Caenorhabditis elegans: one gene and its partners. The main gene of each other region encodes a partner of the protein of the gene in region 2 in a complex. Each region holds a gene or a part of one and is shown on either strand. Other genes may lie near its edges.

Region 1 (7,683 bases), on a different chromosome or scaffold from region 2:
CACTTCCACCGACGCTCAAAGACTATGTTCGATTGGTGCAACACGAGGTTGTGCTCAAGTAGAGAAAAAAATACCGAAATTTCAGTGTTTTTGAGAAATTTTGAAAAAAAAATTGCCTAATTTTCTGAATTGTAACTCATTTTTCTCGATTTTTCCTGTATTTTTAATATCTAATTCTGGTTTTTTTGCACTTTGCCAATTTTTTGTTGTTGAATTTTTTCTGAAAAATCTGAAATTTTTGGCTGAAAAGCTGAAAAAGAAGCTTTTTTTTATGTCTAGCATTTCGTTTAAAAATGAGAAATAATTATTATTTGACTGGAAAAAAGTGATTGTTTTAATTTGTGGAAAAATAAAATTAAATTTAAAAAAAGAAAACGAGAAAAGCAGAATTTTCGCTCCTTTTTCCATGAGATTTCTTTAGTTCAGATAGTTGTATCGACTGCCGGACCACCGTATGACATCTTTTCACGGATGAATGTTCTGGAAAAAAAATGAGTTTTTTTAGGAGAAAATTGGATAACTTTTCAAAATTTTTTTAAATCGTATAAAAATTGATTTTTATTGGAATTTTTTAAAATTAAAATATTAAAAACTACCATTCGTTTGAAAGTTTTTTGAAAAATTTTTAAATCAGTTTTTTCCAATAAAAATCAATGTTTAATACGGTGTTTTTTAAAAAAATTTTTTAAACAAAAAAAATCGCTACCCTGTGAATCGGCTATCCTGATTGACTAAAAGATGTAGATCACGAGTTGTTACACGTACTGTTCGTGGACGAGGTGCTGTCGTTGCGGCGCCCGTGTTTTCCCATCTGAAATTTAAATTTTCAATGTAAAAAAGCGGTATTTTGGTAGAAACTAGCTCGTTTTATCAACAAAAACAAATTGTAAAAAATGAATTTTTTGAAATTGGTTTTCGAAATTTATTTTAAATTGAACCGAAATTAGTTTATCAACTGGAAATTGCAAAAAAATGCACATTTAATAATTTTCCAACAATTTTCAGTAAAAATTTCAAAAAATTTCTTCAAAAAGTGAATTTAGTGGAAGCAATTTAAAAAAAAAGAAAATTATTGGAAAATGTTGTTTTTTTCAACAAAAAAGTGTATTTGTCTAATTTTTTAGAAATTATTTTTTCCCTAATTTTGGAAAAAAATGAATTAATTTTTAATCAAGTTTTAAAAAAACCTTTTTTTTCGAAAAGAGAATTTCTAAATTAAAAAAAAACTAATTTTCAACAAATGACAGTTTCATTACTGGAAGGAGCTGCAAATTTTTTATTTTCATATAAATTTTTATTTCTATATAAATTTTTTCGAAATGTGAAATAAATTTCAAATTTCTCCAAAGAAATTTAGTTTATTCCTGGAAATTATTGGAAAATGTGGTTTTTTTTTCAAAGTCACTAGAAATTTAAATTTTTTTTTAAAATACGTTTTTTTGCCGAAAAGATGTTCATTTGTTTTTCGTTCATTTTTTTCTGTGATTATAAGTCACTGAAATTCAAAAATTATAGTTCTAAAAAATTCTAAAAATTATTTAAAAATCGATTTTTTTTTTCAAAAATTTTTCTCAAAACGTAAAAAATTAATTTTTTGTAAGTGTTCAGCTTTTCTCTAACAATAAATCCAAATTTCGAAAATTTCTTTTTTTTTCTATTTCTTTCGAATTTTTAGTATTTTTAAAGCAAATTTTGTTCAAATTGATTGTATCTTGATTTTAGGCTTAAAATACCGAATAGTTCAACGAAATTTCTGGAAAAATTAATTTTTTGTTGCTTTTTTTCCAGATTTTAAAATTTTTTTCAATTTTTTCAGTGATTTTAGTAATTTTTTTAAACTTCTACAAAAAAATATATATAAAAACCAATTAATGTCGAAAATATTCTTATTTTTTAAACATTTTTCCTTTCAGCTTCTATTTTCACTTTTTCGTAATTTTTTTTGCGAATTTCGCACTAAAAACGAATTTATTCTTGAAAGTTTTATTACTGGAAAGTACTGTTTTTTTTTTTAAATTAAGAACCACAAGAAATTGATTTTATCTAAATTTTAGGGTTAAAATCTTGATCGTTTTAACGAAATTTCTGGAAAAAAACTTTTTTTTCGCTATTTTTCTGAATTTTCTATTTTTTTCATTTTTTTTCAGTGATTTTAAATAGTAATTTTTTAATTGAAAATTTTTATTCTAAAAATTTTTTTTTGTGAAATACAAATTCGAAAAAAACGAAATTTTTTTCCATTTTTTAGAAATTAGTTATTGATTTATTTTATTTTTTCATCGATTTTGCAGCATTGTAAAACAATTTTTTCTGAATAATTTTTTTTTGCTTATTTCTAAATCCAAATCTCAGAAACAAAGGTGTCGGTTTTTCAGTTTTTTAATCGAAAAACGAAACTTTCATTTTTCGAATTTTTGAAAACCGAAAAATCGAAAAATGACACCCTTGGTCAGGAAATTGTTTTTTTTAAATCTATTTTTTAAAAATAATTTTTCTGCAAATTTCACGCTAAAAACGAACTTATTCTTGACAGTTTTATTACTGGAAAGTGCTGCAATTGCAGCCGCATTCGCATCTCGATTCCTTTTCGCTTCAGCATCTTGTCGTTGCATTTCTTTCGCTTTTTCAATCGTCTCTTTTCCACTATTCTTATTCTTGCTCATTCGAATTAGCGACTCTTTTTCTCGACTTTCCCTTAATTCTTCCTCTTGACGATCCAAATCTTCAAGGAATCGAAGTTGCCGTTTGACGTCATCAATTGCCACGTAGTTCTCCGGAATTCTGGAATCTTTTGTAGTGTTTAGGATGGAAAATTCGGATTTTTCACAAAAAATTGTTAGGAAAAAAGCCATTTTTTTATGCTTGCTTCGTGTCGATTTACGGCAGCTCTCCATTTTTTAAAAAAATTTATTCGTGCTTTTTTAAGTTTTTTTTTTTTTTTTTTGCGCGTTTCTTTTATTTTGTCGCTTTTTTGTCAGTTTTTTTTCTGAAATTTTTAAAATATTTTTTTTATATCTCAAAACTCCCGGAATTTTATATTTTTACGTCAGATCTCGACGAACACAGGAGTTTTGACCTAAAAAATTTTCAAATTGACACAAAACAAAATTTCAGGAAAAAAAATGACAAAAAATCGACGAAGATCAAGGAAACTCGTTGAAAAACTGAAAAAAAAAGCTTAAAAGAAATTTAAAAATGAAGAGCTCCCGTAAATCGACACGAAGCAAGTGCGCCCCAATGAGAATTTATCTGGGCGCGCATTTGAAAAATCTCATGGTGTGCATGCACAAAGCGATTTCAAGCTGAAATATAAAGGGAAATTTTTTTTTTGAATTTTTTCGAATAGATATTCGGAATCAGGGGAAAATTGGAGATATTTTTGAAAATATTTCTCAGATTTTTATATTTTTTTGAAAAAAAATTACCGCGTTTCAGCAATGTTTTTTGTTTGGATTTTAAAACAAAATCTAGATGTTTTTTTAATAAATAGTTCGGAACCTTTGAAATTTAAAAATCTTTTTTTTTAATGTAAAATTGTTTTTAAGACGATTTTTCTTCAATAATTTCCTTATTTTTGCTTAATTTTTTTTTCGCTGCCGTATTTTGAAGCAAAATCAATTCTCCTCAATACCTCAAACTCTCCACCCGATGTTCTGCAACTCCGGCCATCAGTGTAATAAGTTCCCTTAAATGCGACTCAACAGCATCTGAAATCGCGACAAGCGCCTCCTCTTCCACCGAACACGATGACATCATTCGTTTCGTGATCCTATTCAGCACCTCATCCGGCTTCAGAATCGACGATTTCAGCGATCCTTCAGGATATTGCCTCGTGGCCGTGGCCGCCGCGGTAGGCTGTAAATTCTCTTCCACCTCCATTTCTACAGGGGGAGCCGGGTGCTGCTGTTGAATCTGCTGTGGTGGGGGAGGAGGATGCATCTGGACCATCTGATGTCCCATCGGCCCTCGTACGGGGCCTTGTAGGCCCATTGGGCTTGGGCCGCCGGGGCCCATAGGCCTGATCATTGGCCGGGCGCCTACAGATACCATATGGGGACCCCCTTGAACCATTTGTGGGGGTATTTGATTCGGATTCGGAATTTGACGCATTTCTAGTGGTGGCTGCTGCTGGGATTGTTGTTGAGGTGGAGGTGGCTGAGGGGGTCCTGGGGTTCTTCCATTGTTGAAAACGTAGCCAGGCGGTGGATTTACGCCTTCAACTGATGCAGTGCCTGGAAATTTGAAAATTAGGGAAAATAGTCCAAAATTGAGGAAAAAAAAAGATTTTTAATCTAGAAAATAGGTAAAAATCCTCATAAATTGCCTGGAAATGCGCCTCAAAATCGAATTTTTGAGCTGAATGTTGAGAAAATCTATAAACATTTTAAAAACTTTAAATTGCAATTTTTCAGCTGAAAATAGCCCTGAATTATGAAAATTGCGTGAAAATTGCGAGAAAATTTGCGGAAATAGCTCTAAATAAAGGGAAGTTTTTAAATAATTGTTTTGCTCAATTTCGTGGAACTCGGATAAATTACCAAAATATACTCCGGAAAAATTGAAAAAGTGCGATAAACTTGATAATTTTTGCTTTCAAAAATAGAATTTTAAAGAAATTTACTGGAAATAGACAAAAAATGTGGAAATTTTAAATTTTAAGCTAAAAAAATTGGTGAAAATCTTAATAAATTGCCTGGAAATGCGCTTGAAAATCGAATTTTTGAGCTGAAATTTGAGAAAATCTATAAAAATTTTAAAAACTTTAAATTACAATTTTTCAGCTGAAAATAGCCCTAAATTATGAAAATGGGTGAAAATCCTTATAAATTGGCTGAAAATCAGGAATTTGCTCAAAATTGTGAGAAAAATTGCGGAAAATCCATATATTACTGACAGCTGAAAATATTTTTAAATAAAGGGAAATTTTTAATTTTTTTTGCTCAATTTTGTGGAACTCGGATATATTATGACAATATACTCCGGAAAATGGAATTTCAAAGCCGAAAAATTGAAAAAATCACCAAAAACAGCTTGAAATTGTTAGAAACTTGATAATTTTCGCTATCAAAAATGGAATTTTAAAGAAATTGACTAGAAATAGCCAAAAAATTTGGAAATTTTGAATTTTTTTCATGGAATTTCTACACAATTTCTTGAAAAATGTAATTCAACGGATTTTTTGCAATTTTTTATGTTAAATTCAAGTTTTTCGCTGCTTTTCAACTCAAATTTTCCTGTTTTTCGATGATTTTTTTTTTGTCGATTTTAATTTTTTTGCACATAAAACCGAACCATTTCGAACAGCATTCCTCAATGCCGGAAGAGTATTCTGAAGGAATGGTAAAAGATGCGGTTGAGCCTGAGATTTGAGCACTTGTTGCAGATTTCGTGTAAACTCTTCAGCCGTCGTTTCCAGATAAATTACGCCCTGAAATATCCGAATTTGTCCGGTTTTTATCGCGTTTTTCGCTCAATTCCTCACTCGAATTAGCTCTTTGACACGGGCGGCCTTGTCCGGCATTTCTGGATCATCGTTATTCGACAGATTAATTAAAGTTTTCAGAAAGCGGACGCATTTTGTCACGTTTTTGTCATCTGAAGCAGCGGCGGCCGCCGCTGCAGAGTTTTGTGGAGTCCCGGGCGGCCCTTGTGGAGCCATTGGCGATGGTGACTGAAAATGCTGCATCTGCTGTTGTATAGGTTGACGAGGCGGCTGCATTTGATGGTTTTGAGCCTCTGAAAATTGGGATTCAAATTTTTTTTCTAACTTTTTTAAATTTTTAAATATTTACGGGGTGCTTCCACGGGTTCCGGAGCCATTTGATGAGCATCTTGGTAGTCGACTTCCTGCTTTATTTGCGGAGGGGCCTGGAATCAAAGGAATAAATTATTGTTAGTTCTTTTTGTTGTTGTAGAAATTTTGAAATAAAAAAAAACAATTACCGGCTCTGGTGTGCTGACTCCTGGCGTTGATCGCTCGCCGATCGCCTTTCCCTGAACGAGTCGAAATCTGGGAAGACTCATGTGTGCTGAAAATGATATTTCTCTCTCAGAAATGTGACAAGGTTTTGAGTTTTCGTGTCGATAATTTCGACGCCATAAAAGAAGAGTTCATACAAAATCGATAATTCCCAGGGTTCAACAGTGTGTTTCCTTGCTATTCCTCCCCACTTTCTTTTGTTTTATTCACATTTTCACATTAAATAGCTAAATTTCCGCAAAATTAGCGGAAAACCCCCTCCGCAACACAGTTTCATTTGAAAATTTACCGGAAAATAGCGGAAAATGGTCGCCTTTTATACTGCCAAGAGTGACCGTACTTTCGGTCGTGGCGAGACCCATGCCGCATGTTTGGAGGGGTGCGTTGCGGCTCGCGTCGCGGTCGCCCGCATTTTCAACTGCGGGAATTTGCGAGATTTGAACGCGATTCTAGTCTAGCTTGCGGTGATTTTTCAATTTTTTAATGATTTTTCAGCGTAAGAACTTTTGAGTTTAGTGGAAATATTGATTTTTGTGATATCACACTCTGAAATACCCAAATTTTCAGTCAATGTATTGTTACATTTCGAAATTTTTATTCAATCTAGTAACAAGCCTACACTTTATCATCGCTAAATAGGATTCTCCATTGTATAGCAGTTCATTCGAATTCCATTTCAAAATTATTGTAAAATGTAGGGGTTTTCTTCTCTAGAATATCCTCCAAAGTTCAACGTGATGTATTGCTGAAATATTTCTTCATCCTAACATGTTCGTTAGAGTCTTCTGTGCGAGGCTTTTCTTTTGATAATGTTTTTTTGATCTGGAAGGTTCCATATTTCGTTCTTTTCCTACTTTTGTCATCTATTTGACCTTCCTTTCATTCAACCTTCCTTTGATAGTTGTATTCTCGTGATTCTCATTCCATTCTTGCGTTCACATGACTGACCCTTTTTATTTATAATTTGTTTTCAGAATGGGTATTAAAGGCGACAAAAAAGCTACCAGCGATCAAGCGCGACTTGCACGACTCACACTGGAAGGAAATTCCGGAAATGAGGAGGACATACAGTTTATGATCAAGACGGTAAGTCTCCAAGCTGGAAATGACGCTTTCCTGAAAATAGTGATCTTTGCATCACGCGAACGCTCGCCACACACCGACATGATGACGCACGTGACTTTGTTGTTTTGAACTTCTCTAGTGTCCGCTTTCAGTGTCAATAGGAATTTCGAATCGATAAGACGGGGCCAGATGGCAAATAAAAGGACAAAAGCAGGTGTCCGCGCTTGAGATGGTGCAGCGAGAGTAAGAGTACCCAGATGTCCTACTCATTTGGGCTAATTAAAGTGTTCGCGCATTCCCAAGAGGGGTTTTTTCACTGCTCATGTCTTTTTCATTTTCAGATTATCGAAACCACCGGATGTACACAAGCACAAGCTGAGATAGCGCTATTGGATACTGACAACAATCTTTACGGCGCAATCGATCACATTCTGGATGCTGGAGATAAACTTGACTCGTGGACTGAACAGAAAGGAGCCAAAAAGGAAAAGAAGAAGCCGGAAGAGGGCAGTTATAACAACAGAGGATTTGTAGCAAGAGGCAGAGGTTCGTGCTTGATTGAAATAGATCAAATATTGATATGTTTTTTTCAGGTGGAGGCACCGGTTTCGTCGATCGAGGAGGCCGCGGGCGATCCA
Region 2 (3,082 bases):
GCTCATTTTGGTCATTTTTAAATTTAAATGCACATTAATCAACGAAATAATGTGAGATAAACTATCAGAATGTGCAAACAAGGATGATAAATCGAACAAAGTCAATTTCCGAGCTTTGCAACTCGGAAAAGTTGTCAAAATTGGCCGAAATTTTGAACTTTTCATCACGAATTTCTTTCATTTGAGCTTGAGCTCCAGCACCCACACTTGGAACGGGGGACGGTTGCGATCGTGCCGGCGCCTCCATTGCTTCCGATGACTAGATTTGGTGGAGTTGTGGAGACCTGATCCTTCGCGGCCGCAGCCGCCGCCTTCTTCATCGAAGTCAGCGAGCTCGAGTCGATCGCAAAGCCGATTGGATCTTTCTTGGCCATTTCCTTCTCCGCCTGAACTTCTGGATCACTGTCATAGTCATCGTCGCGTGTGAATGGCATTGGCATTGTTGGGGGTGTTCTAGAGAAAAATGGGTTAAATAGAACTGAAAATTAAAACAAAGGAGAAGCATAAAATGGCAAAAAAGAGCCACTTGGATAATTGGTATATAGGAAAACGGCATAAATTCATAAAACAGGAAAATAAATGTAAAGCATTATAAAACCCATTGAGGAGTATCATGTTGGTATATTATAAATTAGGTGTGATATGGTGGACGAGTGTTCTGGTGTCCGTATTCTTTGAGAATTTCATCGAGAAGTTCCTCTGTGAGCGTGTATTTTGTGTCTTTCGTTCCTTTTTTCGTCTGTCCGAGACCTTTCATACGAGCCTGAAATTGTTCTTGTAAAAAAACTTGGATTTTCTTTTGCAAATTCTAAACCATACACTTGTCATCGCGTCAAGAATAATATCCGAAACATGTTTTTGAGCCGCCAGCGAGATCATTCTAGTCACTCGCGGATCCGATCCATCAACACCGGCAGACTTCAAGAAGTGCAATGTTACAGAATCGGGAATCGTCGGCGGATAGTCGGCGAGCTGATTGATGAACTCGTGTGTGTCGTCTTGCGATGGATTTTTCTGAACATTTTCCAGCGTTTTCTGCACAAATTGTTGCTGATTTCCGGTGAGAGGCTTGTGCAACGACGATCTGAAATTATTTGTTAATAATTTTTGTCTTGTCATAATGTCATTAACCCTGAACAAAAACAAACCTTAAATTTTGAACAGATGGCTCAAGAGTGGAGTAAACTTGTGGAGCTGCTGCTGGCCGCTGAAAATACTTTAAATCGGTTAATTTTAATCAATTAAATCGATAAAAAACCTGTGGAAGTGCGGGTGGAGGCATCAGGACGCTTTCTGTCGACGAAGAAGGCTCATATTGCTCTGGATCATTCATTTTTGCTGAAATTCGGGAAATTTTTGAATTTTTTTTAGGTTGAAAGATAATTTAAAGCGAGTATTTCGTTGAAAAGTTATTACTAATTTGTTTAAACATATCTTTACAATAAAAATTCGTATTTAAAAGCTCAAAAAGTTCCCCCAAAAACCAATGGCAGCGGCACGAGGGTTTAAACTTTAAAAAAGTCTCGTGGTGCGGCGCTCCGCCCACTTGCAATGTGCGGCGCGCGTTTTCGTAATGCGTGCGCACACAATTTTGGTGAACGCTTTCGTGGCCCTTTTCTGGTAATAAGAGGGCTAAATCAAACAGAATTGGGCGAACGCACGTTGAAAATTTTGATTAAAATTAATTCTTCAATTAATTTAGTTTTAAAAATTAAAGTTTAAAAAGTTTTTACTATTTAATTCCCGGTAATCATCGTTAATTCAAATGTTTCTAGACAACTTTAGCGGTTCAAAAATCAGAACATGAATATTTCATCAAATTCGTAAAGTAGCTGTAATACGCTCCCAAATTAATATTTCAGGGAAATTTTAGAAAAAAAGTCTGTATTATAGGGGCAGAGAGAAACTGTCCAAAAACGCTCCGCCCCCGAACCCGCGGGTCTCGTTAGGTATTCGGCGGCAAAACCGTAAATTCAAATTTTTTTGATTAGTTGCGTAAATTTCGCTAATTTTCAAGCATTTGCCGTTATTTTCAATGAATTATAATGTAAAAATTGATTTTAAAAAAAGCAAATGGTCAATTTCACGTGAATTTTCAAACATCGTTAATGTTTTGGCAGAAAATTCTTTAAAAACAACGAAAAATGCTTCAAAATTGCCAAAATCCCGAAAATAGTTGAAAAAGTTTGAAAAAACCGCTAAATACCTAACGAGACCCATGGTTCAGGGGCGGGGCGTTTTAAATTGGCCGTGGAGCGCGTTATCTCTTGTGATTTTCAGCGACCCAAAACTTTAGGTCTATACCACTCTGGCAGCGTATATCTCGGTTCATTTGGAAAGAATCAAAAAATTATTAACTAGAAAATTTTAGATTTTTAATTGATTAGAATTTTGATTTTTAGTGTACTTTCAATCAGGGGTGGGCGGCAAATTGTCGGTTTGCCGATTTGCCGGAAATGTTTGGTTCCGGCAATTTGCCAGCTTGCCGATTTGCCGGAAATTTTCATTTTTTGGCAAAGCGACCATTTGCCGTTTGCCGGATACCCATTTGGCGGAAGTGTTGAGAGGGATCTATTTTTAAATCGGCAAACCGGAAATTTTTGCAGATTTGCCGAATTTTCAAGAAAAACCACAATTTGCCGAAAATTTTCGGCAATTGCCGTTTTTCAGCAAATTCGGAAAATCGGCAATTTGCCGATTTGCCGGACATTTTTGAATCCGGCAATTTGCCGATTTGCGGGACATTTTCAAATCCGGGAATTTGCCGATTTGCCGGACATTTTCGATTCCGGGCATTTGCCGATTTGCCGGTCATTTTCAAATAAGACAATTTGCCGATTTGCCGGGCATTTTCAAATACGGCAATTTGCCGATTTGCCGGACATTTTCGAATCCGGCAATTTGCCGATTTGCCGGAAAAATCTTTTGCCGCCCATCCCTGCTTTCAATGCAAATTATCAATTTTCGAAAAAAAAATTCAAAATAAAAGTGCAGTGACGTCAAACAATTCTCTTGCAACTATAATTATATTTCGAGAATTGGTGCAAAAGCTGTCATTTTCATGATTCTGCGATCTAGCAGG
Region 3 (4,637 bases), on a different chromosome or scaffold from region 2:
CCATAATTTTGTCATTTTTTTCCCATAATTTGAAATGAATTTCTCACTTTCCTATTTTCGCTATTCTTTTCCGGTTTTTTCGGGGGGAAATCCTCGAAAAAGTGTAATTTTGCACTTGAATATTTTTTTTTTTAATAGTTTTTCTATTTTTTAGCTGAAAATTCAATTTTTAAACGTTTTTTCACATAAACCAACGTTTAACAGAAATTTTGTTTTAAAAATCGGTAAAAACCGAATAAAAAGTGAAAATTCGAAGAAAAATTTAGAAAAAAACAATTTTTATTCAAAAACTCTAATTTTGCTGTAAAAATTTGGAAAAAACTTATTTTCATCACATTTTTAGTCGCTAAATTCAATTTTCAGTCGAAAAATTGAATTTTCAAGCGAAATTTTGAATTTTCAGTCAGAAATTCTGCTAAAAATTGCAAATTTCATGAATTTTTCTTCAAAAATTTCATTTTTTAATGCCAAAATCCAATAAATTCCACAAAATCATAATTAAAATTCGAGTTTCAATTCCAAAAATTCTGAATTTTCCACAAAAAAAAGATTTTTTCCGCACTTGGTTGCTCACACTACAAACTACACAATTTTCTAGCCTCACTCAACTTTTGGTGAGGCTTAAAAAGTTGTAGTTTGTAGTGTCGGCCTCAACCAAATGCATTTTTCGAGCAATTTTAAGCCGAAAAGTCAGAAAAAACTCAACTTTTTGCCGAAAAACTTTGAAAAAATTAGATTTTCATAACATTTTTAGTCGAAAAATGAATTTTCCCGGTGAAAAATTAAATTTTTCAGCGAAATGATTGTAAATTTCATTTTTTTTCTTGAAAAGTCTAATTTTTATGCGAAAATCAATCAAATTTGAAGAAATAATAATTAAAATTCGAGTTTCATTCAAAAAACTGAGAACTTTCCCCAAAAAATTAGTTTTTCCGGAGTTGGTTGAGGCTCACACTACAAAAACTACAACATTTTCTAGCCTCGCCCAACCTTTGGTGAGGCTGAAAAAGTTGTAGTTTTTGTAGTGTGAGCCTCAACCAAATCCATTTTTCACTCAAAATCGAGCAATTTTGAGCAGAAAATCCATTTTTTCCGTGAAAAAATTTAAAAATTCGTGAATCATCAGGTTTTTAGAATTATTTTTAAAGTTATTATCGTAATTTTTTCCAATTTTCTACAAGTTTTTAGTCTCACCAAAAGTTGGTTGAGGCTAGAAAATGTTGTAGTTTGTAGTCTGTGCATTTTTTGGTGTTTTCTTCTTAATTTGCACAATTTTGATTCATTGTTTATTCGGAAAAATGGAAATTTTATCGATTTTCAAATTCAAATTAAATAAAAATTCAATTTTGAGACTAAATTAATGGTTTTTTTTTCGAATTTTTCAAAATTTCCGTTTTCTTTTTTTTCTCTGAAAATTTTCTAAAGAATATCAATAGACAGAACTCATGAATTTTCAAAATTCAAAATCTCTAAAACTCAAAATCGAGCAACTTTGAGCAGAAAATTCAGAAAATATTCAATTTTTTCGTGAAAATTTCTTGAAAAATTCGTGAATCTCCAGGTTTTTAAAATATTTTTCAAAATTTTTTATTGTAATTTTTTCCAGTAATGAACAATACACATCATCACACAAATGGGTATCGAACGGAAAAGCCAAAAAATGAAGAAGATCTAGAGGATCCTTACGCTAATCTCTCGGATTTCTACAAAAATCATCCGGCAGCACGGAATGAAGGTAGCGAAAATCGAAAAAAAAAACTTTGGAATTTCACTAATTTTTCATTTTTTTCATTTTTTCAGCATGTTCGTCAGCTTCTAATGGCGGCTCTAAAAGTGTGAAAATGGAGCCAAAAGTGGAAAAAAATGAAGAATTTGAAGAATATATTGGTGATCCTGTACGATTAGAAGATATGGAACCATTTGCAAGACCATCACTTCGAGATGATGCACCACTTTCATCTATTTTACATCCGGATCTTGATGGAATTGATCCGAGGTACTGAAAACCACAAATTTCTGTTGAAATTGACGTTTTTTACCGGAAATTTCCACGAAAAACTCAAAAATTCTATCAAAAATCACTGAAAATTGGGAAATTTGACAAAAAATTTCATTTCCTGCCGAATCCTGTAATGTGTAGTATGAGATGTGTGTGGTATAAAAATTGACAAATTTTAATTTAATAACATTAAAAAAAATTTCATTTTTCTCTAAAAACTTTATTTTTTTTTCCATTTTTACAAACTTTTTTATAAAATCACCCGAAAATTCGAATTTTCTTCGGAAAATCTATTTTAAAAACTCTGAAAATTGCTCGAAAATGACATTTTTTGAATAAAGTATTCCAAAAATGCTCAAAACGTGCTGTTTCTTCCAAAATTCCATAATTTTCTTTTAAAATTCCGCAAAATTTGCTTGCCCTTGAAATTGAAAACTGAAATTTTTTGAATTTCCCGCCAAAAGTCGATTTGGAAAGAGTTTTTGCTGGAAAAATCAAAAATTTCGACAAAAAATCGTAAAATGGGATTTTTTTTTCAAAATTTTTCGAAAAAAAATCGAGTAAAAGTGACGATTTTTTTTTCAATTTTTGTTGAATAAATCGAATATTCAGTAAAATTTTCATTTTTTTTTCTCGAAAAATTGATAGAAATTCTAATTTCGTTGGAAAAAACAAATTTTCACTTTTTTTAAGCATGAAAAGCGCCATTATTTCAAAAAATTGGCAAACATTTGCCGAAATTCGAATTTCGCGCAAAAATCGAATAAAAGTGACGATTTTTGTTGGAAAAATCGAATTTTCACTGAAATGTTGGGTTTTGTTTTATTCGAAAATTGAAAATTGAAATTCGAATTTTGCTCCAAAAGTCAGTTTTCCAATGAAGTTTCATAAAAACACACAAATACACAATTTTTAAGTCAAAAAACCCGAAAATTGGCAATTTCTGCAAAAATTCCTTTAAAAAACTCAAAAATTCACTCAAAAATCGTTGAAACCCGTGTCACTTTTCCCCGAAAAAACCCACAATTTTTCCACACAAACCCATGGTTTTCCTAGCCATCAGAAATCTCATGTAAAACTCGAAAATTTGCTTTAAAATTGTTAAACCTTTTTTTCGAGCCAAAAAAGCCAAAAAAAGCCTGAAAATTGGCCAATTTCTGCAAAAATTCCAAAAAAAATGGTTGAAACCCGTCATTTTTCCCCTGAAAACTGGTTTTTCTCGCCGAAAAACTCGAAATTTTGATGTAAAATTGCTAAAAACTGCTAATTTCTTCTAGAATTCCATAATTCTCTGTTAAAATTTCCAAAAAAATTCCGAAAATTCGCCAAAAATTCACGCAAATCACTGAAAACCCCCATTTTTCCGCAAAATCCTTTAATTTTATTTTCAGAATCTTCTTCAAAGACTTCAATCCAAACAAAACTCTTCGTTTCTCTCGACTTTTTGCTCAAAATATCAAACATACGTCCCGTGCCGAGATCTGGTGGGCTTCCCGAACCTTCTCCAAACATCAACGCAAAAAAGAGCCCGAAGAGCCCCTCGCTGATGACGTCATCGTTGGAGCCAAAAAGCTGAAGCTTAACATCATTGAGAAGGTGCCACGTGTCATGTTGGCTGACGATGAAGAAGAACGAATGCGGAGACCGATACTGACGGATGCAGAGGAAATGGCAAAGAAAAATGAAGAGGGTACGGTAGTTCAGCCGTGGAGAACGGGTCCCGCCAAGATTTGGTATGATATGATGAATTTGCCGATGACTAGTCAAGCTGTTAATTATGGATTCAAACTGAAGGTAAAAATAATGAAAATTTGCAGAAAATCGGCTGAAAATTGCTCAAAAAAATGGAATTTCCTTTGAAAAACTGACTTAAAAATGGCTGAAATTGGCTAAAAATGATCAAAATTAAAGTTTCCTGGTAAAAAATACACTGAAAATGGCTGAAAAATGGCTGAAATTCGCCAAAAATTGAAGTTTTCAATAAAAAAAACCCTAAAAATCGCACTAAAAATCTGAAAAAATTACCAAAAAAGCGCAAATTTGACACAGTTTGCTCAAAAAAATTTGGTTGAAGCTAGAAAATTTCGTAGTTTGTAGTATGAGCCTCAACCAAAATTGAGAATTTTAAATTGGTTGAGGCTAAAAAGTTGTAGTTTGTAGTATGAGCCTCAACCAAAATTGAGAATTTTAAATTGGTTGAGGCTAAAAAGTTGTAGTTTGTAGTGTGAGCCTCAACCAAAATTGAGAACTTTAAATTGGTTGAGGCTAGAAAATGTTGTAGTTTGTAGTGTGAGCCTCACCCAAAATTGGTTGAGGCTAGAAAATGTTGTAGTTTGTAGTGTGAGCCTCACCTTAAATTGGTTGAGGCTAAAAAAGTTGTAGTTTGTAGTGTGAGCCTCAACCAAAATTGGTTGAGGCTAGAAAATGTTGTAGTTTGTAGTGTGAGCCTCACTCAACAATATATTTTTAGTTGAAAAACGTGATTTTCAGTCAATTTTTGATAATTTTTAACTAAAAATTCCTGAAAAATATAATTTCCAGCTCAATTCCGACAATTTTCCGGTTATTTTCACGGCTTAAACAGCATTTCATGAGTTTTCAGACAATTTTCGGTCATCTTAGACAATTTCATCTCATT

What was found. Proteins that work in one complex are often made in the same cells at the same time.
Region 1: taf-10 (region 2) and taf-4 share a complex: the UniProt entries of both Caenorhabditis elegans proteins name them as parts of the TFIID basal transcription factor complex.
Region 3: taf-10 (region 2) and taf-1 share a complex: the UniProt entries of both Caenorhabditis elegans proteins name them as parts of the TFIID basal transcription factor complex.

The regions. Positions count from the first base shown.
Region 1 is NC_003279.8:381,174-388,856, reverse strand, and holds taf-4 (Transcription initiation factor TFIID subunit 4), read right to left. Parts: upstream 6,032-7,683; 5' UTR 6,025-6,031; coding exon 5,944-6,024; intron 5,869-5,943; coding exon 5,793-5,868; intron 5,737-5,792; coding exon 5,483-5,736; intron 5,429-5,482; coding exon 5,293-5,428; intron 4,233-5,292; coding exon 3,632-4,232; intron 2,782-3,631; coding exon 2,521-2,781; intron 812-2,520; coding exon 707-811; intron 481-706; coding exon 423-480; 3' UTR 293-422; downstream 1-292. Other genes in the region: R119.5 (Protein-L-isoaspartate O-methyltransferase domain-containing protein 1), read left to right, coding at 1-62; Prion-like (glutamine/asparagine-rich) domain bearing protein pqn-59, read left to right, coding at 6,956-7,066, 7,387-7,591, 7,639-7,683. UniProt on the Caenorhabditis elegans protein: The TFIID basal transcription factor complex plays a major role in the initiation of RNA polymerase II (Pol II)-dependent transcription.
Region 2 is NC_003283.11:4,685,365-4,688,446, reverse strand, and holds taf-10 (Transcription initiation factor TFIID subunit 10), read right to left. Parts: upstream 1,345-3,082; 5' UTR 1,334-1,344; coding exon 1,259-1,333; intron 1,217-1,258; coding exon 1,149-1,216; intron 1,085-1,148; coding exon 820-1,084; intron 764-819; coding exon 632-763; 3' UTR 548-631; downstream 1-547. Other genes in the region: K03B4.2 (HUN domain-containing protein), read right to left, coding at 206-440. UniProt on the Caenorhabditis elegans protein: The TFIID basal transcription factor complex plays a major role in the initiation of RNA polymerase II (Pol II)-dependent transcription.
Region 3 is NC_003279.8:13,859,868-13,864,504, forward strand, and holds the start of taf-1 (Transcription initiation factor TFIID subunit 1), read left to right. Parts: upstream 1-1,606; 5' UTR 1,607-1,608; coding exon 1,609-1,735; intron 1,736-1,800; coding exon 1,801-1,996; intron 1,997-3,390; coding exon 3,391-3,793; intron 3,794-4,637. UniProt on the Caenorhabditis elegans protein: The TFIID basal transcription factor complex plays a major role in the initiation of RNA polymerase II (Pol II)-dependent transcription.